4 linked regions of the Rhinolophus ferrumequinum genome follow. The protein of the gene in region 3 interacts with the protein of the main gene of each other region in a pairwise test. Links are inferred from orthologs where the notes say so. Each region holds a gene or a part of one and is shown on either strand. Other genes may lie near its edges.

Region 1 (7,166 bases), on a different chromosome or scaffold from region 3:
TTTCTATTACGTAGACAATGACAAGTTCGCAGGCACAGCTTGAGCACCACGGAGCCCATGGGAAAGCTCTGGGCTCTGCATTCCAGGGACAGGCTGGCTTGGCCTCCTGCAGGCTGGTTCAAAGACCAAAGGCATTTCACCCAGTCTTAACTGATCCAGGAGTGGGAAAGGGGAAAGCATTCACTTTCCCTGACTCCAAATGTACCTAAAAGGAGTCGGCCCGATCACATACTGCCTTGGCTTACAGAGCCCCACACTTGCGGTCCCGGGAGACAACCCAGCAGAGCAAAATGCTATGTCTCCCCCCTCAATACACAGGCACACACGCATGCACGCACGCGCGCGCGCACACACACACACTCACTTCTCAGACATCTCTCTTCACTCTTGACCCAACATTGGAAAGCCCTGCCTTTCACAAGGGAAGCTCTTCTACCATGAAGGGGTAATCATTTGCTAAATTATGCAAGAACCTTTGCCTTCATTACTAAGGTCAGAATAGGAACTGCCTAATCCCTGTCTTATGTAAAAGGCAAAAAAAAAAAAAAAAATGTATGTCTGGTACATCTCCCCCCACACCACTGCCTGGCAATGGGCACAATTCCATGGCTCCTTCCATGCAAATTCAGCCCTTCTGTTCCACATGTCCACAGCATCCTGTCCTCCTTGGAAGCAGGTTGGGCTTTTGTAATTGTCACTTCCTTGTTATTTCCAGTTACTTGTGTAAAGTATGCCTTACCTGACAGGCTGTAAGGTTCATGCTGTATCTTCCATCTGCCCTCTAAAGACACTTACTGCCTAACTGAAATGCATTCCAATTTATCCTTGTGTTCAAATGGCATCAAGGATGTCACCTCTTTTAAATCAAACTCAGAACCTGCCTTGGTCACAGAAGTAAGAGCAGGCCTTCTTTCACAAAGCTGCAAATTATCTCCTTCTCCTATACCGCATCCTATCTGGTCTCTACATTTTCTTCCAATTTCTCTCCTTCTTCCCACATGAACCACATCTAGTACTCCCTAAAAAAGTCACTATCATGTCCAGGGTGGCCCCACTAATGAAAGAATATGGTTCCACGACTGAGAACAAGGGGGGAGGTAGAGATCAAACAGTGATTGACTGATAACTCCCTTTTCTTCTAAGATTAGAGAATGTCGCAGCTCAATGACATTAGGGATCAAAGATCTCAGTTCATAGAAGAGGAAACTAATGCCTAGATTCACATTGACTGAGCCAGCATGGTGAGCATCGGTGGCACACACAGATCCAGTCCTGTTTATCCATCCAAAGATGTGACAATAGCTAGGGTCTCACTTTCCCAAGGTCACAAGGCTTAGGGTCATCGAGATAGGTCCGCTATCTACTACAGGTTATACTTGTCAAGAGAGAAAGAGAGAGAAAGAGAGGAGGAGGAGGAGGAGGAGGAGAAGTCAGAAGAGGAGGAAGAGAAAGGGAAGGAGAAGAGGAAGGGAAAAAAATAAAATAACCTACTACATCTCCCGAAGTAATGCTCATCCCTTCAGAGAGACCTGATTTTCTCTGGCAAAGTATCAGAGCCAGAGAACAGATTTCCAAATCCCCTCTGGAGTAACCTCTTGCAAGGGAGGGGAAGTACCCAAAATGTCCCTGTTTGTATCCCCAAGTAGGGAAAAAAACGAAACATTATTGCTGGTACTCACATCTGAGGAAGATCAAAGCCATCAAAGACTCAGGTCAGACACAAAGACCACTGGATGGGGAAGGTTAATGTCAAGGCTGCTTAGGGCAAGTTGGAGATTGAGACTAATAATTAAACAAGCAGGTCTAGGTATATGCTTACGTACACTCATGTGACCCCAAGGCAACAACTTAGAAAGGGAAGTCTGCCTTGCCTTTTTCACAAAAGAACCAACAGGCTAGAGATGGGTAGATTGTTGGAGTGATGCTCTGAATGAACCATTCATCTTGCATCTCCTTAGTCAAGGTTCTTAACTGAGTTCTCTCTCCAAGGATCTAAAGCAGGCACACAGGTAGCAGATGTTTAAAAAAAATACTTTAGTTGAATGCATAAATAGCTAAGGACCATTCAGAGAAAAATATGCGTTCATTCCAATTATCTTAAGTAGACTGGAAAATCTGCTGATAGGAAGAGGGGCAAAGCCAAAAAACCTAGATGAAACTATTAATGCAGTCATGTGTCGACTGATGACAGGGATATGTTCTGAGAGATGCATCATTGGGCAATGTCATCATTGTGCGAATGTCATAGACAGCACTTACACATATACAAACCTAGAGGGTACAGCCTGCCACACACCTAGGCTATACGGCACCGCCTATGCTCCTAGGCGACATGTAACATCCTATACAGCATGTTACTATACAAAACAACATGAGGTTACACTAAGTCCAAGAAAATATGATGCAATCATGGTAAACACACGATGTATGATGAGGCTACTGCTGGTGTAACTTCGTATACTGTTTTACAGCAAACTTTTTTTGTAAGTAGAAAGAGTATACTCTAAAATAACAATAAAAAGCATTGCATAGCAAATACAGAAACCAGTAACATAGTGGTTTATTATTATCAAGTATTACGTACCGTGCATAACTGTATGTGCTATACTTTTATAGGACTGGCAGCACAGTGGGTTTGTTTACCCCGGGGTCACCACAATATGTGAGTAATGAGTTGTGCTATGACATTAGGACAGCTACATCACTAGGCGATAGGAATTTTTTAGCGTCATTATAATCTCATGGACCACCAACATATATGCAGTCCATCGTTGACCCAACACTACGTTATGGCTGTTAACAGCTAAACCCTATATAGCACTTCCTATGTGCCAGGTATTGTTCTATGAACTTGACATAATAATTCATATAATCCTCACAAGAACCCAGTGAGATAGGTAAGACTCATACACACATGTGCAAAGTTCCAGGTGTACCATCTACACCCACATTGTATCAGCTCTTAAAAAAGTTTTGGGTTTCCATTGCAAATACAGACCACTCTGTTCCTCTTACCTGAACGTTACAATAGTGTTTAAAAGCACTTCCTCAAGAATCAACAGAACTGGGTTCAAGTCCCCACTCTATATTACTTAAAACAACCAATTTCCAGGGTTGTGAGAATGAAATGGAATCTTGTGGGAAAAGCATTTCACTAGAAAGGATGTAGTTTCCACGAAGCTAGATTTTCTCAGCTCTTGTGTTTCCAGAGTCTAGAATACGACCTGGCTCCTAAGCCATAACTCTTCCTGTACTCTGCATGGGGAAGCAGTGGGAGGTAACACCTCCCAACTCACCCCGGATCCCTCTCGCTCTTACTTGCCTGGAAGTGTAGGCCTATTTTTTGCCTCCTTCAGGACCGCAGAAGGCGAACCTCTCGGTCAAACGTAACTTAGCAAAACCTGGCCATTCCAAAATGCCATTCACCCGCGCCGTCAGCTCACTAAGAACTCAAGGCCAGTCCCCCGGCAGCTTCTTGCGCTACCACAGGCAGCCTCCCACCACTGGGACTCCTCCATCCCGCACTAACACAGGTGTGTGGAGATGAGTGCGCAGCCCTTAACGCACCATCCCTACGAAAGACAGACGAAGGCGCTGGGGCCTAAGGGAGAGGTCCATGGGCAGTCCCAGGCCACTCCTCTCGCCACGTGGCTTCGGCAAGAGTAAGCCCAGCCCGCGCTGCAGCCCCGCCAGGGCAGTCAGGATAGAAACACAAGCTCCGTCCCAGGACGTAAGGACTGGAGGTAGATGTGGCTGGCGACCTCCCAAGACAACTTACCTCGTCCCGGGAGAAATGAACTGAGACAAATGCCACCAGATGAAGCCCGCGTTGGAAGCCTGGCCTGGGCACCGCGGAACTCCGCCCAGGAACCGCCCCCACACCCTCCTGACCAATCACAGGCCTGGTAGCCTCCACAGGCCACGTGGGCGAATTGTCACCATTCCCGGGTCTCTACAAGCCCGCAGCCACCTCCTGCTTCTCAAGCAGCCCGCCTGCGCAATGGGCGGGCACTTTGGTGCGCTTGCGCACTTAAGGGAAAGCGGAGCTGGACCCCGCCCCGTCCTGCTGCTTTGATCCTCCGCTGTGCGTGCGAGAGACGTTGGGGGCGGTGCCGCAGTAGTTGCCCCTGGTAACGGGGGAGGCAAGAGGAGGAGGAGGAGGAGGAGGAGGAGGAGGAGAAGAAGGAGGAGGAGGTGGGACTCGGCGGGAGGATGGTGAGTGTAGGGGCCTGGGCCCCTCCGGAGCCGATCGGTCACCCCCCTCCCGTCCCCAGGCCCAGGGCGGGGCACTGCGCTTAAAGCCAAGGAGGGAATGGGACGGCGCTCAGCCTGCTGTCTGGGTCCAGGATTGGTTTCGGGGGACGGCAGGGAGCCCGGAAGGTGTGGGCCCTGGAGGGAGACCTGGGCCTGGGGAGGCAGGTGGGCTTGCAACGGATCCCTAGACAGGGGAAAGGGCTGGAAGGGTGCGTGGCTGTCCCCATTCGGAGTCGGGGCTCCATCATTACTCGGGGAGCTGGGATGAGGGCGGATCTGAGGGGCTGCGAAGATCAGCTTCCGCACGCAAGCTTATATCTGCCAAGGGAATCCGCCTCCCTACGCCGCAGGAAAGTGGGGTCCGCCAGGGGCGGGCCAGAAGCGGGAAGCAAGGCCAGCGCTACTGCGTTTGCGGTCGCCCTGGCGGTACCACGGGAGATGGTAGCCTAGCGCTCCTCTTCCTCGTTGTGCGGGTCTCTGGAGGGAGGGTTGTAAATCCCAGGACACATAAAACATGCGCCTCTTGGAAGAGATGCCTGGTAGATTTTACGCCGCCTCGGTGTCTGCGTGGCGGGTGTGCTTCTGCAGTCCGGAATTATTTATTTGCTAAGGGTTCTGCAAGGTCTGGGGGATGGTGATGACCAATCTTCCGTTCAATTATCCATGTTGATGGAAGCAAATTTGCTGCCCGATCCCTAGTATTTCCTTCAGAACCTGTTGCAGCCCTCTTTTGCCTATGACTACACCAGAACCAATCTAAGCTTAAGGTCTCCAAACTAAAAAGGAATTGGGAAATTGAAACTGGAGAGTGGCCATCAATTTGAGGCAAGCCTTTTCCCTGTCAGACCTAATGAAAGCTTTCCCAAACTCTAAATTATGATGTGTGGCAGGTTTGTTCTTTGTTGATTTCTGTGAAGTTAGTTGGAGGGTGTTAAAATGGAATTGAGTATTACTGGAATCTATCAGTAAACTTTTATAGTTGCCGCTAAAAAATCGGAATTGAGGAGTTTTAGAGCAAGCGAAGAAAAATTGATTTTGAGGCATTTAGAGCAGGTTTGTTGGCTTACCAACTGTAAAGAGCAAGCACTCAAGATTAGTTACTTCCCTACCCTAACCCCAGTTCCTTTTTGACTTTTAGAAATGCTGAACCACTTCTAATGATTTACGAAGTAAGAAAAAGCTAGATGTCCACAAGGAAAAACTATGTGTACCTTTGGTCAGATTATCCAATGAGTAAATTTCGATAGGACAAAAAAAAAAAACCTCAATTGATTTTACATTGTCAGATTGTTAAAGAAGTAGAATTATTTGATCGGAAGTTGCCAATCACATTCACATTTCACTCTTACTACATTGCAGTTTTATTAACCTCAGGCTAAACAAGTTTTTACATGTTTTCTTTTTATTAATCGTGTATACATGAGCTGTCCATTTAAAGGCTGTTTTTCTCCACAAAAATGAGTATAAATATAAATATTTACTCAGAAAATAACTACAATTGAAATGAAAAAGACATGCCAAACCAACAGAATTAGATGTCATCATAAATGAGAAATGCATGAGAGTAACCTAACTTTTCCCAGTTTGTTTATCAATTAAGTGGACTGTACGAGTATAATTTCATGATTGTTTAATTTATAATTACAGACCACAATAATTTAAATACTGCTTATGTTTCCAGGTGCAAATTGACACTGTATACAACAAATTGACAATGTACACAACACTGTTGTATACAACTGTTATGTTAAGTGATCAAGACAGATTTTGTTTTTCTTTTTTCCTAAAATGAACAATAAGAAATTAGGACAAATTATTCTGGATTCTTTATCTGGTTTCCAAAATACATTTTTTTTTTCTATCTTCAAAAGTGTGAGCTATTCTTAGAACAGAAAGTAGAACATGGAATTTAAATAGCCAGTGGTATGATTAAGTGTGTTACATCTGGTATCCCATAAGCCCCCCTGAGAACTGTACAACTGAAGAGTAAGTCCCAGGTTTTTGTGGGGGGGGTTTTGTGTGTTTTTTTAAGCCCTCAGCTGTGACATAATTTTTCTTTTTTTTTTAGTTCGTAATACTGCAACAAAACCCATTGGTTTCTCTGAATATTTAGCATCAGCAGTTTTACCCCTGCCTTATAATACCAAGTCGTTGGTGAAATACTAAGATGACAATAATTTCAGTACATAACTAATCATTGTTATTTAATATATCACGCCTTCATTCACGAATTACTTATGGAGTACTTTCTACATATAAACCTAGCGGTAGTTATCAAGCATGTTCAACATTTGAATATTGTTCTCAAGGTGATGCTTTCTGATCAGAAAATGTTCAGTGAAAAGTAAAAAAACAAAAAACACACAACTACTGTCTTGAGTGCCTACTATGTGTCCTGCTTTACACATTTAATTTTCATAGCGTTTTTCTTAAGATATAAGTATTGTTTCCATTTTTCTATATCTAACTGTGCCTGGTGTTATGCATATAGAGAAGTCCACTGCAAGTCTATGAAACTTTAAAGCCTGCAATGTTTTTTTCATTAGGACTCTAGTGAAGTGGAACCCATGCTTTCTGAAGAGATGCCCATATTTTGTTCCTCAGGAAACATTGTATTTATTTAGTATAGAGATGAGGAGAAAGAAGACAAAGTTTGGGTGATGTTCCCTTTATCAAAACTAGAGGAGTTCCTGAAAATAACATCTCACTGGGCAGCACCAATTTTTTGTTAGTTTAAAGAGGTATAAGTAAATTGAAGTCGGTTCCATTTAAACTAGTTATAGAGAGTGCATATACTTGACAGTTGGTTTACTAATTTTGATGTTTAAATTTTAGCTGCTTCTCACAGCCACATGTAGTTTTCCCATATGCCAACACATCCCTCTTTTCCCCTGTACCACACCAGTTTCTTT
Region 2 (6,948 bases), on a different chromosome or scaffold from region 3:
AAATGATCCTGGGAAATATTGAGAGGGATTTGCACAGCTTCTTGATATTTGGTGCTTGAACAAGTCGTTGCTTGTGAGGTCTAGTTATATTTTCCTGGTATAATTATTTGTCACTCTCAGTGGTGATTCATTTTAAATGCCTTATCTTGGCTTTAGTATTCCAAGACCCAGTAAATCCATTTTGGAAGAGGTGAGTTATCTTTGTAGGTTAAGTCCTTGCTCTCCCAATCACATTCTGATCTCTTCCGTTTATGAACCAAGTTCTGTTAGTAGCTTCATGTGTGGTCACTCTGCTCTGGTGAGGTTCATCTTATAAGATACAGTGGTACTTTGTTTAGGTTTAGGAAATAGGGAAGGGGACTGGGGTAAATCAGATGTTGGGAGGTCAAGGCCCTGCAAAGGGCTCAGAAGAGAATTTTAAGGTCACAGGGGTTATTGGAGCAGTAAGTGAGCAAACAAAGTACCTGATGACCTGTGCAGATTTCAGTGTGTTGACACCTCCACTTTTTCTGAAACCATTGTCCATGGTTTAAAAGTTACTCTGATGAAAGATTCCATCCCTTAGCAATTAAGGAATAATATATTCAGTCAAGGCAAGAATGAGGCAAGATAAGCACTCTGGGGCCAGGGTGGGGAAATGAGTATAAACTAGTACAAAATGAGTATTAAAAGTATTGTACCCTTTGTACCAGTAATTCCATTTCTAGACATTTTCTCTAGAATACTGAGATGTGAACAATTTAATAAGCAACCATTCACGGCAGTATTTATAACAGTAATATATAACAGGATTTGTTAACATAGCACATTTATACAATAGAGCTTTATATAGCCATTTAAACATTTATGAAGACTTTCATGATATGGTGAACTTTATATATTCAGCATGCATGATACAAAACTAGCAGAGAGAGTATTCTTCCCAAATTTATGATGTATCAAATGAACAACAAAAAAGGAGTAAATGGAAATAGTCACTAACATGTTGGTTTTTCTGGATGGTAGAATTTGGGAGACCAAGTTGCAAAAATGCATTTCTGTTTTTGTTTCCTACAAGAAACACTTTTACAAAAAATTTCCTCCAGTGTTGTTTATGGAATTGTAGAGTATAGACTGGCGAAAGAATTTCTCCTTGCTTTTGACAAGCGACAGTGAGGGCCTCTATCCTCAACTTGTATAGTAATGCAATTACCTCATGAGTTTATACATGTTTTCTTATGCATCTGGAAGAGAGCAAAGGCCGGACTACATTAATGAGATCATGTTTATTCAAGACTGCAGTCTGTTACTTGGCATATAGTGGGATAGGTTGAATGAATGCATTCTCACCTCTCAACACTCTCTTCTTAAAAGCACAAATTGGGAGGATTACTGCTATTGCTACCAACTTTATGACTTCAGCTTCATGTAATGCGTGGTGTATTATCTATTTATACCAGCAAAATCTAGAAGTTGGCCTCTTCTGCACAAGAGTGGACATATTAACATCCCAGAAGATTAACATCTAATTAGAAGAATGTGCTCCTTAGGGAGTTCTGAAGCTTCAGGTTTTGGGGGGTGTGTGTGTGTGTGTGTGTGTGTGTGTGTGTTTTCCTTCCTAAGGACTCTTTTCCAAAAGGCAATACATGATTCTTTTATTATATTACAGTAAACACAAGGTTTTCCTTGGTGCCAGTTATAACGAATGTGCAAATGGTGTGGAACAGGGAGGGTACTATGGTGCAGCCTTTGGAACTTTTCCATCTCTCTGCTTTGGACCCATTTACTAATTCCTAAAGGCAGAGTGACCATGTTTAGCCTAATGACCTTCTGTTCAGGACTTTCTCTAAGGTTAGCTTTTAAAGGAAGGGCAGAGCCAACTGCTCCTGGGTGATTTTCTTCCCCTGCATAGAAACTGACAGGCCTCTGAGGAGTCTGACTTGGCAGTCGTGAAGACATCATTTATCACTAAGAAAATGGGCCAAAAAGTGTCTCTTTGCTAATTCAAGCTCTATCTTATTTGCAATATGCTTATGCATGGAAAGAAGGCAAACAAACAAACAAAAACAAGTTTCCTTGTCTATTTGAATTATTTTTGCTAGCAAGTTTGAGAGGATTTTAACTTCTGCAATTAGTTTCAAGCAATTGTGCTATTGGTTTATGGAAGTTCTTCACCTCCAGAATCCAGGTCAAAATCTCTTCTAAACCTACACGTGTTTGACCTAGAATGCTAAGAAAAATCAAAATTGGATCTAATGACATAATGCAATTGAGTCTAGTTAGCTTCTGCATAGGCAAAAACTCATTGAAATTTCTTTAGAAATGTTTATACACATCCCTTGTCTGTAAATTAGATGAGCAAAATCAAGCTCTGTACTAATAAGTTCCTTCAAAAAACCCTCTAGCCATAGGAATTCTCATTTCTCAGCTGCAAGATGAGATAGGATACCCAAAACCTCATGGCTCACCACCTGGAGCTCCCACTGAACAGCCACACTCCCTTCTGTTCCTGGTTTGTACATATTTAGAGTGAATTCCACTGTTATCTAATAGAACGGTTTTGGTGGCCCCAGGTAAGCTTATTGTATAAAAATTCATTCCTGAGGATACAAAAGAGAAAGCTGCCAAGTTGAGGGAAAATAAAAATCCAACTCCTAAAACAACTTTTATACCAGTTAGGTAGTCGCTTCAGAAAGATTTAAGTTCAAGTTTCACTCTTGAAACGTTATTGTATGGAAGCCCCAATAATATGTGAGAGCAATCCCTCATCCTCCTTAACCTGTGGGGGGGCACGTCAGTCACCTGAGCCTGATACCATAGATATGGCTGGCATTGTTGTTGTTGTTGAATTGGTTATTCATAGCCTCTGTCATAAATAAATAAATAAATAAATAAATAAATAAATAAATAAATAAATAAATAAAATAAGCGAGCCTTGAGTGTTCTTATCCAGCTTTCCTCCTCCCCAAACTTAATGCTCCAAACTTAATAGTGGAATCTCTGCCGATTTCCCAGTTTTTTTTTGTTTTGTTTTTTTACCAGGTCTCAGGTGCACCTGCTCATAGATATTTTTACCTCTTACAATGACAACGGGTCACAAATACTTTATAACTTGGGTCTTTTCAGAGAGCTTCTCATTCTATTGCTCATTTTCTTCAGAGCCGATGATTTGTGCTCAGTGTAATTGGGACTCAAAACATGCAATTAACTGACCAGTTTCTTCTTCCCAAGTGTTGGAGGTCTACAATCAACTCTACCAAGTTCCCCAGCTGGTTTTCTTTGCCTTTCACGTGGTGGAGAGCGAATTCTGCAGGGGCAATCTGATTAGAGGTAGCCTCCTGGATTACCTCTGGCCGTGTCGGGGGCTTCTCTGTCACCCCAGGGACATCAGGCTGGAGCTGTCCGCCTTCTCAGTTTCACATCTAATTGAAGGTGGGGAGGGGCCGTCCCCGAGTCACAGGCTTGCCAGTTCAGCATACTGTCCTACACACTTCGAGGGTCCCCGTGGGGCCGTCTCGAGGCTGCAGAACCTTCAGGAAATAGCTCCGAAGAGGGACACTAAGTGTCAGTGGTTACCACTCCTCCGGCGTTTCGGCTCTAGCTTCCTCCCGGGGGTGGGGAGTGGGAGGGGACATTAACGCTCTCCAGCACTGGAGCAGCTCTGCTCCGCTCTACCCAGTTAGGACACTATGGAAGCACAGAACTCCGGAGGCAGCGGCACCCGCCGATTTTCCGCTCTTCCCTGCTCGCTCTTCCGCCTGCGCCGCCCCAGCTCCCGCCCCTCCGCCCTCTTCACAGGAACCAGGGCCCTCGACGCTCCCGCGCTTCTCTCCTGCCACCCGCAGTGGCCTGCATTTTATAGGCGCCACAGCCAATAAGCGCTCTCCTTTTCTTCTGCCCGCCCTCCCGGCCAATCGCCGCTCCCCTTGTGTAATCTTCGGCTACTCGGCTGCTCTCGGCTATATTCGTCGTTGCTGGCTTTTTCAGGGACTGCTCGCTCGCAGCCAGAGACGCTGCTTTTTTTTCCGGGTTCGGAGCCGTTCCGGATGCTTTAGGCTGCCGGATGACTGATCTCCAGATAACTGAGGCGTTTCTGTACATGGATTATCTGGTAGGTGTGGGGAGGGGGTGGCGTGTCGCCTCTCGGACCCCGATGTGCCTACTGTCCCCCGCCTGGAGGAACAGCCTTTTTGCTTTCTTTCTTTGGGATAGGATGCCTTGGGGTTCTTTCTCCCGCAGCCGGCTCTAGAACTGTGCGGGGGATTCGGAGGGGCGGGCGGAAGGGGTGGTAGAGCTGACAGGTAAAGGTGCAAGCCGGATCAGCCTCCCTGCGGGGCGAGGGGCTGGCTGGGGCTGCGGGAGAGATGGGGCCGCGGCGGCCGGGCGTCCCCTGCCCGCGATCGACTTCTTTGCTTCCCCCTGTGCTCCCCGCAAAGCACTTTCTTTCTGGGGAAGCAGGAGTTTTCCGCTCTCCCTTTAGCAGAACTCCAGGTACTATTAAAGAGCCATAACCAGAATGGCTCACTAAGTGCCCGGCAGCCCCGGTCATTTGGTTGTTATTAGATCTCTAAAGCTATGACCTCGGTCGCGGCGAGGTTTTAAAAGCACATTACCATAAAGTACACGGGACTAAACTGCATCGCAGCCTGGCCAGAACAGGACTGGGTAGGGGCAGGTATTGCCCCACCGTTACGGTCGTGGTTGCATGCCTCGTTTACCATGTGCATGCATTGGATACCAGTTAGTTGCATGTTTAGGCCAGGCTTGTGCTGAGAAGTTTAGATGGAAAAAGTGTCAGCACAATGTTGGGACTGAACATTATTTTAAAAATAGACGTGTGTGTGTGTAATTATGCAAGCACCTTGTATTGTTCCAGAAAGAATATATTCTTGCAGAAAGTATATATTCCCCCAGAGCTGCATGTTTGTGTTCAAGGGGATCCTGATTTGACATTGGTTCCTTTCGATCCTATGCAATGACCAGGTTTACCTTGTTAGCCGGAACCGCTATTGCCATACATATTAAAGATGGTTCAAAACATTACCCTCCTGTCATCTTGCCCGACACATTCAGGCGGTTTTCGACTGTAGATTGGCCTGGCAGAGATTTTCCAGTGCCTTCTAGGAATTACACTTAACGCTGTATTAAGAAAGATTGAATGCTTTCATGATCAAGAGACGCTGGACAAGGAGTAGTTTGTCATGTTATCTTGTATTTGGGCTTTTTACATGAAGGAAATGTTTCTCCTAAAGCTTCAAGGTTTGATGATTGTGTGGGGAAGGGTGCTGATTGCAGTTAATACATGACCTTGTGAATGGAGCGGAGTAAAAAATTCTGAGTTCAAATTGTTTTGTTGTTCATTTGCTGATGTCAGTAACTTCCTCTATCTTTGGTGATAAAGGGACATTATCCACCCACACCTGGAGCCAGTTAAGGGATTATCTGATTGTGTGTTTTAAAATGCAGAGTGCTTTGTAGGTTAAGAGGGTTACCAAACATTTTTCAAAGATTATTTTCTAAATTAAATAACTGATTATTTTGTAGCTTGTCTTATAAATACAGTACTATGGATTTTCTTACAGTAGCCCATATTAAAGCCAAAGTTTGTTGAGGATAATTGCCAAGTAGGAAAGGGTAGCATTACCTGTACTATTGAAAACTAATTTTGGATACTTAAGTAGTGCCTAAAAAGGAGTCAGGTAGTTCTGATCATTTTATTACAGTATTTTCTTTATTTACTGAATGAGTTTTAAATTTACAAATTGCATTATAAAGCTGTCTTTGAGGTGCCAAACCCACTAAAGCATTTAGTGAGAAAAAAAATTGAAAACTCAGATTAATTTCTAGATGGAGAGTCTAAGGGTGGGTGGGTGAATGTGTGTGGGACTTTAGGCTACCTTAAAAGCAGATAAATTTCTTTGTTAATTTACTAACAGTTTTGTGTCAAAATCAGTGGGCCTCAAATTTGACATGGCCTTTTTGTTTTTATATCTATCCCTCCCTGTCGCCCTATTGCGTTGGTATAAAAAAAATCATTATTTGGTCACTTTAACTATACTCTTAAATAATTCACATGTGCAGTGAAACAGCCCCATAAAAATCATTGACTAGTCTTTTGAGGTGAGGAAAAAAAATCTTAAAGGAAATAAATCAGTTTTTGTGTGTGCCAAGTATCCCCTGTGACAAGATTTGAAATCCTTGAACATTAAGTTCAGTTTTTTACTGAAACTGGACTGAAAAAACACACACACAAAACCTCTTGAGGTTGTCTTTTGTGTTTACTTTTTGCTTATCTACTCGCAGAGAAAATGGTATGCCACACATCATTCCTTCCTTCTTGCCTGTCAGATTGACTTGTTTTCTTATACATAATCTTTATATGGTGTTTATTAAAAACCTGTTTCTGAAAAATGAAAGTCACTTTTGTTGACTGTATTTGGGGTCTTATTTTTAAAACAAATCAATTCCTAAGTTATTTTTACTTGCCTTCCAGAAAAAAAAAAATGTTCCTTTCATTCTGAGTTTGACTCTCAGATTTTGCTGAGCTTGTGGACTAGAGTAAGCACCCTGTCCATGAACTTGATAAGAATAATGGTGTGCCATCTTTCCTTCATTTTTCCTTTTAACAGGTGTTAGACTTAGTTGTTGTTGTTGGAAGCTGGAAGAGGAAGCTTTGTGTGTGTATGTATTGTCCATTGTTCTTTGGACTGGATGTCATCACTTAATCTTTGTTATTTGGAGGAGAATAGAAAGGAAGAGAAATGAGAGAAAGGTAGAGGTGCTATTTTTAACAGCTTTTAATAGGATTGTGGCATTAAAACAAATGATGAAGCCCTGATTTTAGAACTTGCTGTTGATTTCCTAATGGAAAAGAAATATTCTCAATGAGAGGTGACAGATAAGTTGAGGGACAGGGATAGTGCCTTAATATTTAAGGTAGGGTTTTTATTGATTTCAGTTCAGGGAGAT
Region 3 (7,228 bases):
AATTCTCATAATAACTCTATGGCCTGTAATATTATTTCCATTTTTCGGGTGAATTAACTAAGCCTAAAAATCCAAAAGTGGCAAAGTCCAATTTGGAATCCAGGCTATCTGAAGCCAAAGACCATGTTCTTGACCTCTATTCAGAAAAAAAAAAAATGTTTTAAAATAGAAAGCGATTGGTTAAGCCAACAATGCCTCTGTGACCAAAATGACATTCGTGACTGCTTTTGGGACTTACCAACTCCCCTGGAAGATGGCTAAGGAATGTTACGTAACTGAACACTTAAGCTGGTTCCTTTAAAGTACAGTATACACCACATACTTTCAAGTCTTAAAGCCTTTTGTGCTTTAGAGTGCAGAAATCAGACAGGACAGATGCAAAGGAGCCTAACATCAACCCATTCATTTATTCAAAAATTTCGTTAGCATCTATTATGTTCTAGAAGGTTATATGAAGATAAGACAAGGTTCTTGCCCTGAAAAAACTTCAATGTATTAAGTGCTATGAGAGACAACATTTTGGAAAGCAGAGTATGCTGGGGAAGAAAAAACAGGCATCTTTCAGGCAAAGGGGGAAAAACTGGGGGTAGTAACCATAGTCAGAGGCTTGCACTGTGCAGCATATACTGATGCAGAAAAGAAAACCAGAAAGGCTGGAACCGGGGTTCAGGGGAGAGAAATGAGGGATACAGACCTGGAGTCAGGTCATTCAGCTTCTTAGAAACCTCAGGGCTGGCATTATACCCAGTGAATACCTAAATACTGCAAAGTTCCTACCAAAGAGCGCTCACAACCCCCTGGGAGAGACAGGCCTGTGTGGCTATGACAGTCGGTTGCTACAGGCACCTAGTGCTCTGGACTGTGCCCTAGGCAGAGGTGATTTAAGACAGGCTTCTGGGGATGGGGCTTGAGTTGAGCCTGGAAGAATGAGCAAGCAAATCACAATGGATCTAAGCCATGTAAAGGAGTTTTTATTTTATCTTAAGGACACTGGGGAGCCATTTAGGGTTTTTAAGCTGTATGGAGAGGTATGAATAATTGCCATTTTAGAATGATCATACTAGCTGCTATAGGAATGGATTGGATGTGGAGAAAACTGGAGCAGGGAAACTTCAAGGGATTTGAAACTTCAAGTCAAGGGAAACTTGACTTGAATATATCAAACTTGACTTGATATATTCCAGATAAGAGATTGTGAGATCTTGAACAAAGGTAGTGTAAAAGAAGGGAAGTTATTGGACAAATTTATACCGTAGAAGCTACCAGACACGGTGACCAGTTGAAAGCAGAGAAAGGGAAGGAGAATATCACCCAGGATTCTGGCTGGGGAGGGCAGAACTGTCTGGAGGTGGTATTAAGTGAACAGGGCTGCAGAAGAGGAGGTGCAAATTTGGTGGTGGAAGGAAGACAACTAAGTTCTGTGTGAGTTCATAAATATTCCAGCAGTGCCTCCACTTCCTCCAGAACAATGTCCAGCCTCCAAGGCTGCAGCTGAAGCCCTTCGCATATGCCTTCCACTTACCCTCCCAGCTTTGTCTTGCCTCATTCTTTTTTACAGCCCAAACTCCAGGCCTTCCCATGCGCAGCACAGTTTACACCCTCCCCGACTCATAGCAGGGCCTCAAGCTTGCTCTGTCTTTTTTGCAAATCTCTTCCCTCATATTTCCCTGTTAAAATCCTACGAACCCTATACGCAGATTTATTAAACTCTATGCAAAAAGCACTAATCATAAAAAAAAACACTGAACTGTTGCACTAAAATTAGGAATTTCTGTGTATCAAAAGACACCAAACAGTAAGGAGAGTGAAAAGGAAAGCCATAGACTTGGAAAAGATATTTGCAAGCATATATCAAACAAAGAACTCCATATCTAGACTATGTATAAAGAACCACAAATTATTAAGAAAACAGCCCAATATAAAGTAAACAAAAGACTTGAACAAGTAATTCACAAAAGAGGACATCCAAATAGGCAATACACATATGGAAAGGAGCTCAACATCAAGGACAATGTAAATAAAAACTATTCATAATGAGAGGCCACATTTCACCAAAATGGCTAAAATTAAAAGACTGACAAACAACACCTGGTACTGACAAAGATAAAAGTCAATTAGAACTCTGTTACACTGCTGGTGAAGGTGAAAATTGGTAGACACACTTGGAAAACTGGAAATATCTACTATTGCTGATCATATGACCACCACACAAGCCAGCAACTCCTCTCCTAGAAATGAGTGCACAAGTCCACAGAAAGAAACATAAGCATGCTCATTGCAGCTTTGTTAATTATAGCCAAAAAGTGGTAACTGATAACCTAAATGCCCATCAACAGAACAGATACATAGTATTACATACATTCAATGGAATAGTAAGCAATTAAAGAAAAAAAACCAAGCTACTGTTATATACAACACGGATAAATCTCACAAAAGTATTGACGAATGAAAAAAGCCAGATTCATACCGTACATACTGTATGATTACATTACATGAAATTCAAGAACAGACAAAACTGTTCTGTGGTAAAAGAAGTCAGAAGAGTGGTTATCGAGATAGGAGGATGCAGAGCTAATCAGGAAGGGGCACAAAGGGTGCTGGAAATGTTCATATCTTGATTTGGGGGGTGGTGACACAGGTGTACATATATGCAAAAATTGTGCCCTTACTGTATGTTATACCTTATTAACAAAAAAAAAATCTAAAGATAAAAATTTTTAACAGAGAAAAAAAAAATCCTACCCATCCTTCAAGATCAAATGCCACCTCTTCTATCAAGTTATGCCGGGTGGAATAAATCTCCCCATCAGAGTCTCTGTAGCATTCTGATGTCTTTTCCTTTTTGCCATTTATCACAGTCCATCTTGAATTTCAGTGGAGTCTCCTCATTTCCCTAACTAGATGGTTATCTTCCTGGTGGCAGTGACCATGTCTTTCACCTTTTACTGACAGAGAGCCTGGCAAATAAGGAAAGCTGAAAAGCTGTTTGTTGAATTACATGGAAGGAAAAATTGGGTGGATGCCCAGATGGGTGAAAGGGGGACAGGAAAAGGAAGGAAAGCCTAGGAAAAGAAATAAGAGATCTCTAAGGAAACGTTAGCTTACACTACAATTGTACCTAGTTCCTGAAATCTCATTTAATGTCACCTTAGCAACAAAGAACGAATCAAAACATCAAGTCCTACCCACACTGAAGATAAACAAACATCACACTTGCAGGAAACCACCAAATAAATGCTTACCTAACCTCTGGGTGTTTCAACCTGATGGGGAAATTTCACCAAGGAGAATAATAATCACATAGCCATGCTGCTAAAAATATCGCCAGCTTAGTGTGCAAAGAGCCCAGATTGCGGGTCAGGAGACTTAGGGCTGAATTCTAACTCTGCCCCAACTTACTGTGACCCGTGGACAATCTCTTCGCCTCTTTGGGCCTCAATTTCCTCATATGTAAAACAACAAGGGTTGGATTAGCAAATTCTCTCAAGTCCCTTCCTGTATTGATATTCTGGGTATATCTTTCTCTCCCTGCCCAACGCAGCACAACAGGAAACCCCCGCAAAATACGTAAAAGGCGCCCCAGACCAACAAACAAGCATGATTTGAAGGAGTCATTTTGTTATATTATCTTTCATGGTTTAATCAGTTTTGTTTGTGTTTTGGAGCCTTACCATGATTTGCAGGAGATTTCTGAGTTCCATGTAAACAGAAGTTATCTCTCTGTAGGCTGTCATCTTCTTTGAGAGTGAAGAGGGTCTTCACGCCTGGTTTCAACTCTCGAGATTCAGAAACCACCAAACCTGAGGGAGGGTTTATGAATTTGCGCACACTGCGCGGCACACTGGAGTCGAAGTTAGAGGACTATGATGCCAGGAATGCTGGGATTTGTAGTCCTCGAGACTCTGTTGCGCTCTGGGATCTGTGGTTCCCGCGATCGCCCATGGAATGCTGGGAAATGTAGTCTCTGCCACATCGCTCATTGCAACCGGCCGTCATCTCGGAGCCCTAGTGTACCCAGCGGTCCCTCGAGCCTCTGAAGAGCTGAAGCCAACCCTCCGCTGGGGCAAAGTCTAGGCAACAACACCGAATGAAAAATTTGTCCTACGGGACTTCCCGGGAAGGGCCCTTCCCATTGACGCTCTTCGTCCCCCCCGCGAAGCCGCTGAGTGCTTTTATTGGCTTAACAGGATGCCAATCGCCGAGGCAGGCTTTCTATTGGCTTCGGGGCGGGCGCTCCGAGGCTAGGGAGAAGGAGAAGGGATCTGGAGCGGGAGCTGAGGGGAGGGAGAGGCCGGTCCGGGTCTGGCCGCTGCCGCTGCTCTCCCGAGGTCTTCAGGCCGGGCTACGGCTCAGTCCTCGGCTCCGGGGCACCGTCTGCGAGGCTCCGCCGGGCCAGCGTGGGAGAGCCGCGGGCGGCGGCCGCCGCATCATGTCAGCCAAGGACGAGCGTGCCAGGGAGATCCTGAGGGGCTTCAAACTGTATCCGCCCGGGAGCGGGGCGGGGCCGGGAGGACTTGGGAGGCGGCCGCTTGCAGTGGAGACGGGCTGGGGATGGGGGCCGCGCCAGGTGGGCACTCGAAGGGAGGCTGCGGGAGGGAGGAAAGAACGGCGTCCCGGGCCCCCGACGGGACCCGGCGCTGGAGGCGGGGCAAGGGGCGTCCTGAGGGAGGAAGGGGACGTTGCCTGGAGCCTTGGGGGGTGTAGGCGGAGGAGCCCCGGAATTGGGCTGGGAGAAGTGCTGGACGTCGGCAACGGGTGTCGGGGAGGCGAGCTTGGGTCCCAGCTCCGGTCGGCACCTTGAGGCAGGACAGGGGCTGCGGCCCTCAGGAAAGGGCCGAGGGGGCGCGGTGGGCTGGGCTCGAAGCCCAGCAACCCCCTTGGCGGGAAGCCCCCGGAGAGAGCAGGGAAAAGTGACTTGGAACGAGTGACCTTGTGTGGGACAAATGCAAACGTTTGTGTTCAACTCTCTCGGGTTCCCCCATCCCACCCCACCCCGTCTTGTTTCCACAACTTCTCTTCCTCACTTGTGGCTCCTTCCAGGGCTGGAGCAGAGGCGGGGTGGTGAGGAGAGACGTCTCAGATCGCCCTCGTCTTAACTCCGTCTTGGCCTTTTGAGGCATCGGACGGACGGTGGCTGCTTCTCCCTCAACTTCTCAGTTTTCTTTCCAGCGAAATGAGGACCCTAAACTTGTGCGTGAGGTGCCTTGAGGTGTTTTGATTTTCCACTGAGATTCTTGGCAAAGGTGTCTTTGCTCGCTCGCATTTGTGCGGTTAACGTGTAGATATGGTGGAGCTGTCCAGCAATGTTTTGATTGCGTTGGGGACACGGTAAGATACGTAGGATATAGACAGAAATCATTGCCTCGGGCCTATTGTGATGCCGCTTGTGCAACCTTCTCCCCTTAATTGTAGTGAGAAAGCTTCGTGTTTTAACGGAATGTTCATTTGTAACCAGTTAATGTGGATGAAAAAAATGCAATCTAGTACATTCCAATTTGGCATTTTCCTGCTGACCTCTTCTTACCTCCTATGTATACAATATGGAACATTCTTAAATTCCTCTCTCAATGAAAAGGCAGTCACTACTTTAGGGCCCCTCCCCTGGAGGTTTAGGAAAGCACTGTTTTCTGAGCTGCCTGTGTGTTTTCCCAGTGCCCATTTCACCCCTGCCAATTTTAATTGTTTTGTCACAATCAGAAACCAAATTGGTAGTCAGTTTTGGCACACAAATGCAAAAAAGTTACAGGACATTGTGGATATACAAATGAAAGTTTTCAAATGGAACTTGACCTGCTGTGCTTGTTTTAAAAATTGAAAGGCATTATCACCTTTGCATACTGCCATTCATGAGAAACTTGCAGTACTTTTACGCAGTGGCCTCTTTTACAGCTCCACGTGCCTTTCCAAGTTTCTCTTCATAATGGTGCCTATAAGTAGAATGGGACGGCTGAATGTTAGAAAAGCTATGGCATGGATTTTGTTTCTCCCCTGAGTAATTTATATTGTTACTTAACATGTATGCTGTAGACTGTAAACCAGAGACTGGAGAATTGAGAGATTACTTTTTGGATTGGAAATAACGTATTGCTGAAAACAAGGAGGGGTCTTTTTAATGCCTTTTGAACAAAACAGAAAGGGAAAGTTTGAGCTTCTCTCCTTCAGTCTTGGTTCTTGAACCTGTTGAGAAAGAGGCTAAGGGACAAATGTGGAAAACAGTAGAAGGGAAGATAAATTAACTAATTCAGTGATGACATTAGTGGGTCAAGAAACAGACTTTCAGGAAAAGTTTGACCTGGGCCAATTAAATCACAAGGAAAGCAGCCGTATGAAAATACGTTAGCATGGAAGCAGTGGAATGCTCATCCTCTGGTAGCCGTTATTGGCATTTGAGAATTAAGAGAAAAGAGAGAGGGAATTCTAGGTTTTGCTACTACCTTCAGGAAAAATAAAATTAATAGTTTATTAAGAAACTGCCTGACTGTTGTCCACCTTTGTTGGATAAATTGTTTTCTGGACTTTCTTTTAGAGTATCTGTTCCTGTAAAAAGAGTTTTTACTAGAAAAAGAAATTGCTGTTATATCCTCCTAGCAACAGGGTTGACAGTACTCATTTTGCACATTGACTATGTTGGTCTTTTTAATATTGGCCAATTTGGACAACAAATGATATCTTGTTTTAATTTGTGTTTCCCTGGATCCGTATATCTCTAGAGAGTGGTTGAGAGCTGTACTGGCCTGCAGAGGTGTGCTGCCTGCATTGGAATCCCAGTTCCACACTCCTAGTTCTGTGTCCCTTAGCAACCTCTTTAGCCACTGCCTCAATTTCCTCATCTGTAAATGGGGATAAAAATAGTACCTATCTCATTGGGTTTTGTGACCCTAGGCAGAGCACTCAAACTCAGTATCCACAGCATTTCCTCAGAGAGCTGTTACTAGGATTCAATGAGACTGCATGTAAAATGCTTAGTACAGTGCCTGGCACATAGTAAGTAAGTAATAATGTTACTTATTTGTTTTATAAACAATTACTAATATTATTCACACTAGCAATAGTGTTAATATTACTGTAATACCACTTATTTTTCTGAGATTATAACCAATGCCTTTATGCTAGTATTCTGTTTTCTTACTGAGAAACTATGATACTTCTGTTTTGCCTCTTTGAAGAAATGATTCAGTTAATAAGCATTGATGTATACCTGGTGTTTATCTTTTTTTTTAGGAATTAA
Region 4 (7,126 bases), on a different chromosome or scaffold from region 3:
ACCTTTGTGTATTATGTCACTGTCCCAGATTAGGAATTTATCAGAGTAATCAGAGCCAAAAAGAGATAAGACAGCCCTGGTCTTTGAACATGTGGTACACACACACACACACTTACGCTATCCAGGCTAGTGGTTTTTAAACTGTATTCCCTGGAGTGTGTTCCTTGGAGGTACCCCAGGGGTTGGGGGAGGTTTGGGTGAGCCCCCTTCCAAATTCCCATTCTGATTCAACCATAGCAGTCTTGTTTTGCATCTTTTTATGTGAGTGTTTTGAGATTCTGCATAAGATTTAATTTGTAAAGGAGTTTATTACATGTAAATAACACCATGGAGATGCAATCAGCAAAATCCCGGAATATGGAAGATACTATACAATAAACAGCCTGTTTTCTCCAACAAATAAATTGCAAGGAAACAAAGGGGAGGAAGGTAGAGCCTATAAAAACACTTAAGAGCCATGCCAACCAAATTCAATGTGTGGACCTTGTTTAGATTCTGATTTGAATAAACCAGTGTATGACACAATTGAAGAATTTTTTAACCCTGACTGGGTACATGGTGATATTGTTATTTATTTTTAGTTGTAATAATGGTATCGTGGTTATGTTAACAAAGAATCCTTTTCTTTTAGAGATGAGTACTGAAATATCTATGAATTAAATGATATTATGTCTAACATCATCCAGTACAGAAAGTGTAGGGGGAGAAGTGGGTTGGGATATAGATGAAGCAAGATTATGTTGATAATGGTTGAAGTTGGATGACAGGTACAGAGGGGTTAATTGTATTATTCTTTTTACCTTTTTAAATGCTTGCACATTTCCATACTCACACACACAAAACACTTTTTAAAAAACAAGTTAAAGGAGACACTTTAAAGAAGACTTGGAATTGTAACCTTATTTTTTAAAATAACAACTTTATTCACATACCATACAATTCACCAATTTAAACTGTACATTTTAGTGGTTTTTAGTATATTCTTGGAATTTTACAACCATTATCACAATCAAATTTAGAATATTTTCATCACCCCCAAAAGAAACCTCATACCCGTTATCAGTTACTCACTCTCCATTCCCCTCAACCCCTGCAGCCCTAGGCAACGCCTAATCTATTTTCTGTTTCTTTGGATTTGCCTATTCTGGACATTTCATACAAATGGAATCATACAATATGTGGTCTTTTCTGACTGGCTTCTTTTGCCTTAAGCTAACGTTTTCAAGTATAACCTTGTCTTAAACTCTTCTGGTTTTGATGAGAAAGAGCCGTCTTGTAAATTTATTACGCTAGCTATGGATTTTTAAATGAAGACACTTGGAAGAGGTTTAAACAAACTTGGGAGGAGTCTAACTGCTAAAAAATAAAGGCTAAAAACCCCTGCTCTAGTCCAAATCGCTTGCATTACATTTTTTTTTAAAGATTTTATTGGGGAAGGGGAACAGGACTTTATTGGGGAACAGTGTGTACTTCCAGGACTTTTTTCCAAGTCAAGTTGTTGTCCTTTCAATCTTAGTTGTGGAGGGTGCCCTTCAGCTTCAAGTTGTTGTCCTTTCAGTCTTAGTTGTGGAGGGCGCAGCTCAGCTCCAGGTCCAGTTGCTGTTGCTAGTTGCAGGGGGCTCAGCCCACCATCCCTTGCGGGACTCGAGGAATTGAACTGGCAACCTTGTGGTTGAGAGCCCACTGGCCCATGTGGGAATCGAACCGGCAGCCTTCGGAGTTAGGAGCATGGAGCTCCAACCGCCTGAGCCACTGGGCAGGCCCCTTTGCATTACATTTAAGGAAATGGGCCCAGAGAGGGAAGTGACTTACCAAATACACACAGCTTGTTAAAGGCAGAGCTGGGTCCAACACCTAGACCTGCTGACCTTTGGCTCCATTGTCTTCATGTTGCCACACTGCCTTCTGATCTAACACACACCCATAACACTTTTTCCACCACAACTTATAAACATGTGACCCTCAAAATATCTTCGGAGACACATCTTGAGAATCAGTCATGATGGGGGCTGCTCTGTCTCATAGCTCAGGTTTTTGGCTGCCCTACCCTGAAATGCAGCCACCCAGGGAAGAACCAGTGCTAGCACCAGCTCCCAGAATTTCTATATTAGAGGAGCTCAGGAATGGCTAGAGGAAGCTGTTTGTGTAGCAAGATCAGTTTTCACTTAAATTGAATTTTTTTTTGTGGGGGGGAGTGACTGATGGAGGCCATGTGTGTAGGGGGAGGCTGGTAGAGGACATGGGGGACAGAGAGCTAAAGCTTTTGGGGCTGCCATTGGAGAGAAACCAGTAAAGGGTTAGAGGATGGATGGGAACCCCACTGGTGCCTCCAGAACTGACTCCATAGGAGACTGAGAGTGGGAACAGGACAAAAAGGTCAGGCTGAGGGAAAGGACTCCAGATTGAGGCAGTCTAGGATGTTAGCTGTTCCTGGAACTCTCCCAAACCATACTTATGGGCAGCTCTGAGAGGCTGTCAGGCCGCTGAAAAGGGGCAAGAAGAGGACAAATTTTATAGACAGAACATCATCTGAGGCCTGGAGGAAGGTGGGGGGAAGAGACTTCCAGAGAGCCTGACAGAGGAGGGTAACCAGCTGATGGTAGCACCTGGATAATTTTCTTTTTACCCTGGAGGCTCCCTTAGCTGATTCCTGATTCCTGGCAGGGGGGCTGAGGATCTGGGTAGAGGACAGTGCAGGCCTTCACCCCAGAACTCTCAGACGAACATGGACTGTGGACATGGATGCCACAGGATTTGATAGGAGACATACTGGCTAGGAAACATTCTCAAAATACCCTTCATTCTCCTGTCTATAGTGGGCATTGAAAATATCACCCTTAGAGATCTGTCCCTTTGGGTCTGGGGAAGGCTTTTAAACATCCTTTATAACAGGGAAAATATCCCTGGGTGGGGCGGCAATGACAGTGAGTTAGGAGTACGCTCAGATGGAACAAGACCCAGGGCATACTCCAGAGGCGCTGGGCTTACCAAGGTGAAGGAACCTAAAGATGAGTTCTGGAGTGTTCTCACTTTTGCCCAATGTCAGTTTTACTTCAATCACTGATCGCCAGGAGGCCTTATTTGGGATACTTGGTTCCTGAAAAAGCAGTTTGTTATTCGAGCTGTGTACACCCCATGGTTCTGTCTAGTGGATTGGTGCCGTAAGATGCAAGGGCTCTGAGGGGCAGGGCTGGCAGGCAGTTACACAGCTCATCTCAACCTTAGGTTGCCCTCCAGCTTTCTAATCCCAAAGTCCCAGGGCCAGTGTTCTAGTCTGGACTTTAATCAGGTGACACATGCAGTTTGTTGGCATCAGGAGGTGTCACCTGGAACTAGACCTGTGCCTGATTCATCCAGGAAGCTGAACCCAGGCAGCAGAACAAACACCCCTAAGCAGCTCCTGCCAGGCATAAGGTGAGAGGTTGTCTTGCCAAACAGACAGGGACTTTGTTTGCTTTGTTCTCTTCCCTCCCATCCCCACTTGCCAGACTCCCTTGTTCCTTTCTCTCTGCCCATCTCTGGGTTAGGGACTGTGTGGGGTTTTTCCAGCTGACACGAGAGGGCTTTTTAATTAATTAATTTTAATTTAATTTAATTATTTTGGTGAAGGTGTTTCCTGAGGAAGAGACTTGGGAATTAAAAGGGGCACAGCAGAAGCTTCTGGGAGGGGAAGTCATAGTGGGAATTGGTTTGGATGGCGATTAGAGGGAATAAAGAAGTCAGAGATCTCTGCCCCCACCTTGGGGTGCCACCTGTCTATAGTTTTGGCAGGTCCTGCTCTCTAGGACAACTCCAGCTTGACCTCACTTTGTGCGTTCATGGGTAGTTTATTATTTTGACACTAATTGGTGGACACTCAAGACCATTAAATTTTGCTTCAAGTCCCTTCTTCCCTCCCTAATATCAAATGCAAAACAGCGTGGGAATCCCCTTTCAGAGGAAGCCACGGTGCAGCTTTAAGAGAAAGGGAAGGGAGGAAGAGGGCGCTGACTCAGATCCTCTTCCCATTGGCTGCTGGAGGGGATCCCATCTCAGGGATTGGCCCTGACAGAGTCCGCCTCCTCTTGTGATTGGCTCATCCAGGAGGATATAAAGGGGCTGTGCCGGCCTCCGGTTCAGTTGGAGCGAGGCAGGGAATTCGCCTGGGTTTGTGTGTTGAGACGCACCTGACGCAACCCTCTCCCCTCTGAACCCAAGTCCAAGTACCCCGGAGGCTGCAACCATGAAGGAAAGACGGGCTCCGCAGCCAGTGGTGGCCAGATGTAAGCTCGTTCTGGTGGGAGACGTGCAGTGTGGGAAGACAGCGATGTTACAGGTGTTAGCGAAGGACTGCTATCCCGAGGTGAGCTGCCCGTCCGCCCCCTGGCCAGCTATTCTTGCCTGCCTGTCTGCCCCCTGCCCCGGGGGTACATTCTCATCTGCCCCGGGGAGCTATCTCTCTCCACCCCACCCCATCCTCAACCGCTTTTTGGCTGGAGGACCGCCCTGTCTTAGCTTCCCCTGAGACCTGTTCCACTTCTGCCGCTCCGCTGGCTCCTCCTTACCTCTTCACCCATAGGCCCCGATCAAATTCCCTCCTACCTACCTTCATCCTGGAGTCTGCTCTCCGCAGAGGGAACTGGAGGCATTTGAGAATCTGGGGTTTCTTGACGCAATACCTGCCCGTCCATTCACCCCAACCTCAAAGGTTCTGTGGGCACGGTCCCAGGCAGGCTCCTGCTGCTCTTTTCTGCTCTTCTGCTGGTGGCTTGTGGGGAGAAGATAAAGAGCTAGAATGGGCTTGTGGCTCAGAAATTGGGAGACAGACAAATCTGGGGATGAGAGGAATCCCTCTCTCTCTCCCCCACCTCTCCCACTTTCTCTCCCTAACCATCTAAAATGGGGGGGGGGGGGAATTGTCCCTGCTGGAAGTCATCACATTTCTTACTTTGATGGAGCAAATTGCCTGTGCCTCTACACTCCCCTCCCTCCTGTCCCATGTGGTCCCTCCTGCCCCAGGCATCCCCTCCTCTGGCCACTTCAGCATCTCACTAGGGTGAATGGCTTCTTCTGTAGCCAGTACCAACCAGAGGGTTACAGGGGCAGGAAGGGCCCAGGTGCGAATAGTTTCTGTCTTTTCACAGACATATGTGCCCACCGTGTTTGAAAATTACACAGCCTGCTTGGAGACAGAGGAACAGAGAGTGGAGCTCAGTCTCTGGGACACCTCAGGTAAGACAGCTGGCCCCAAATGTCCCCTTCCCACCTCCACTGGTCTGCTGCAGCTGCTGTCTTTTAGAAATTGTTTTCTTCTTTAATGGGGAGCAGTATGGTACTTGCCACAAACTGAAAGAAGGGGACATGAAGATTCCTCAGTTGGGTGCAGGGAGAGGGACCGGGTCCACTTGGTTGGCTGGTCCAGGGATGCAGAGTGGATTAACCCCAGAAGCCACTCACTTCTCTGGGTCTAGCTCCATTCTTCAGAGGGCTGGATGATGAGGTGAATGGACCCCTGAATACTACTCGGGGGCGGTCAGACAAGGCTTCTTTTTTTCCACTCCCTGCGCCTCTGCCACCACACACACACACACACACACACACACACACACACACACAGGCTTTACTGCCCCCGAGCAAAACCAAGTAAGAGGCAGGAGGCAGTGTAGCTGGAGGCAGTTGTGACTGAGGCAGGGAGACAAGCCTGCTTTTGGGGAAATACTGCTCCTAACTCAGTTTTGTCCCCTGCATTCCACCTCGGGCCACTGCTGTCCTCCTGCCGCAGCTCAGCTCCACTCAGCTCCACTCGTCATACCGCTGCGGCTCAGGGCTGAAGTGATGCATCATCGATGTTTTGGAGGGTGGGGGAGATGGCTTCATATGGAGCAGAGTCACGTTATAGATAGTAGCCGGAGGAGGGGTGTTGGCTTTGACCATTTTCCTTGTACTGGGCTGAGGTAGAAGACGCCCTGTCTTTCTGGAATGTAAGAAGCAATGTTTTTCCAGCCTCTCAACCCTAAACCCTCAGCACTAGGCTATCCTTTGCTTTGATTCTGATCCCTTTCCATTATCTCTTCACCCCAATCCTTTCTTAATAACTGGGCTCAGAGTCGTAATTAAGGACTAAAAGCAAGGAATGGGAGAAAGAAAAGAAAATCCACTCCTCTCTAAAAATGCATATTCAGGCTGAATTTAAAGAGGAACTATAAATCACTAAGGGTTTCCTGTTACACACAATAAATATGCTGTCCTGCTCCTCCAAAGAGCTGTTGTTCCCATGATCCAATTTTGAGGTCTGAAAAGATTAGGGGTAGGGGATGGGTAAATAGAAGATGACTTCCCCTCGCTCCCCCTTCCCCAAACAAAGCAAAACAAAAATTGCCGGACCCGCTATGTTTTCCTCTGCTGCAGTTCCGGGGGTTGGGAGGCAGGGTTCTGGGTTCCCGGTCTGTGCTGTGCTGGCTGGATCCGCCTGGAATGCACTTGGCTTCAGGATGTATGGCTTGGCATCTGCTGTACCTTGCCCACCTTTCAGTCTTCCCAGAATCTTACTGCAGCTCATCTCTTCTCACTACCTCCGCCCCAAAGTGCCACTCCCCCCACCCTCTTCCTGCTGCTTCTACCCTCCTCCCATAGTCAGAATGCAGCCTTTCAATCCCAATCCAGATAATGGAAACTCAGCAAGGTGGTCTCTGTTTCTTGTGTTGCATTCCCACCCCCTAGTTTCCAAAAGGATGCAGGCTATCAGTCATCCTCAAACTCCCTCTTTCAAATGAGGTACCCAGAAGGAAGGAGGAAGTGGCAGCCCAATGGGGATGGGGCTTTCCAACACGGGCCAGGGTTGAACCTGCTCCTGTTATTTACTCGCTGGTGTTGCTTAGAGCCAGAATGGAGGCCTCCTCCCCTCCCCCTTCCCAGTGCTGCAGTGCTCCCTTTTTTCAGTGCTGCGGTGATAAGACCCCACCTCAGAGAGGGGATGGGGTGGATTGCTGAAGGAGCAGGCAGCTATCCCAACTCCCCTTTACTCTTTTTTAAACAACCAACCCCCTCCCCACTTGGATTCCCCCCAGTTTCCATGGCGATTGTGGTGCAGGGAGAGGGGCTGCTTGCTATTCTGAGCACGGATTGTCTGGGTTCCAAATCTGCTACT

The links.
Region 1: the proteins of PDE6D (region 3) and ARL3 interact in binary tests that used the Homo sapiens proteins (3 or more experiments, as listed by UniProt). The link is inferred for Rhinolophus ferrumequinum from reciprocal best matches to the Homo sapiens genes PDE6D and ARL3.
Region 2: the proteins of PDE6D (region 3) and ARL15 interact in binary tests that used the Homo sapiens proteins (3 or more experiments, as listed by UniProt). The link is inferred for Rhinolophus ferrumequinum from reciprocal best matches to the Homo sapiens genes PDE6D and ARL15.
Region 4: the proteins of PDE6D (region 3) and RND1 interact in a two-hybrid assay, tested with the Homo sapiens proteins (2 studies listed by BioGRID). The link is inferred for Rhinolophus ferrumequinum from reciprocal best matches to the Homo sapiens genes PDE6D and RND1.

What each region holds. Positions count from the first base shown.
Region 1 is NC_046299.1:22,368,097-22,375,262, forward strand, and holds the start of ARL3 (ADP-ribosylation factor-like protein 3), read left to right. Parts: upstream 1-4,163; 5' UTR 4,164-4,212; coding exon 4,213-4,215; intron 4,216-7,166. UniProt on the Homo sapiens protein: Small GTP-binding protein which cycles between an inactive GDP-bound and an active GTP-bound form, and the rate of cycling is regulated by guanine nucleotide exchange factors (GEF) and GTPase-activating proteins (GAP).
Region 2 is NC_046290.1:33,675,334-33,682,281, reverse strand, and holds the start of ARL15 (ADP-ribosylation factor-like protein 15), read left to right. Parts: upstream 1-3,948; 5' UTR 3,949-4,042; coding exon 4,043-4,090; intron 4,091-6,948.
Region 3 is NC_046291.1:6,749,970-6,757,197, forward strand, and holds the start of PDE6D (retinal rod rhodopsin-sensitive cGMP 3',5'-cyclic phosphodiesterase subunit delta), read left to right. Parts: upstream 1-4,219; 5' UTR 4,220-4,429; coding exon 4,430-4,479; intron 4,480-7,228. UniProt on the Homo sapiens protein: Promotes the release of prenylated target proteins from cellular membranes. Modulates the activity of prenylated or palmitoylated Ras family members by regulating their subcellular location.
Region 4 is NC_046293.1:49,975,284-49,982,409, reverse strand, and holds the start of RND1 (rho-related GTP-binding protein Rho6), read left to right. Parts: upstream 1-4,117; 5' UTR 4,118-4,222; coding exon 4,223-4,342; intron 4,343-5,123; coding exon 5,124-5,211; intron 5,212-7,126. UniProt on the Homo sapiens protein: Lacks intrinsic GTPase activity. Has a low affinity for GDP, and constitutively binds GTP. Controls rearrangements of the actin cytoskeleton. Induces the Rac-dependent neuritic process formation in part by disruption of the cortical actin filaments.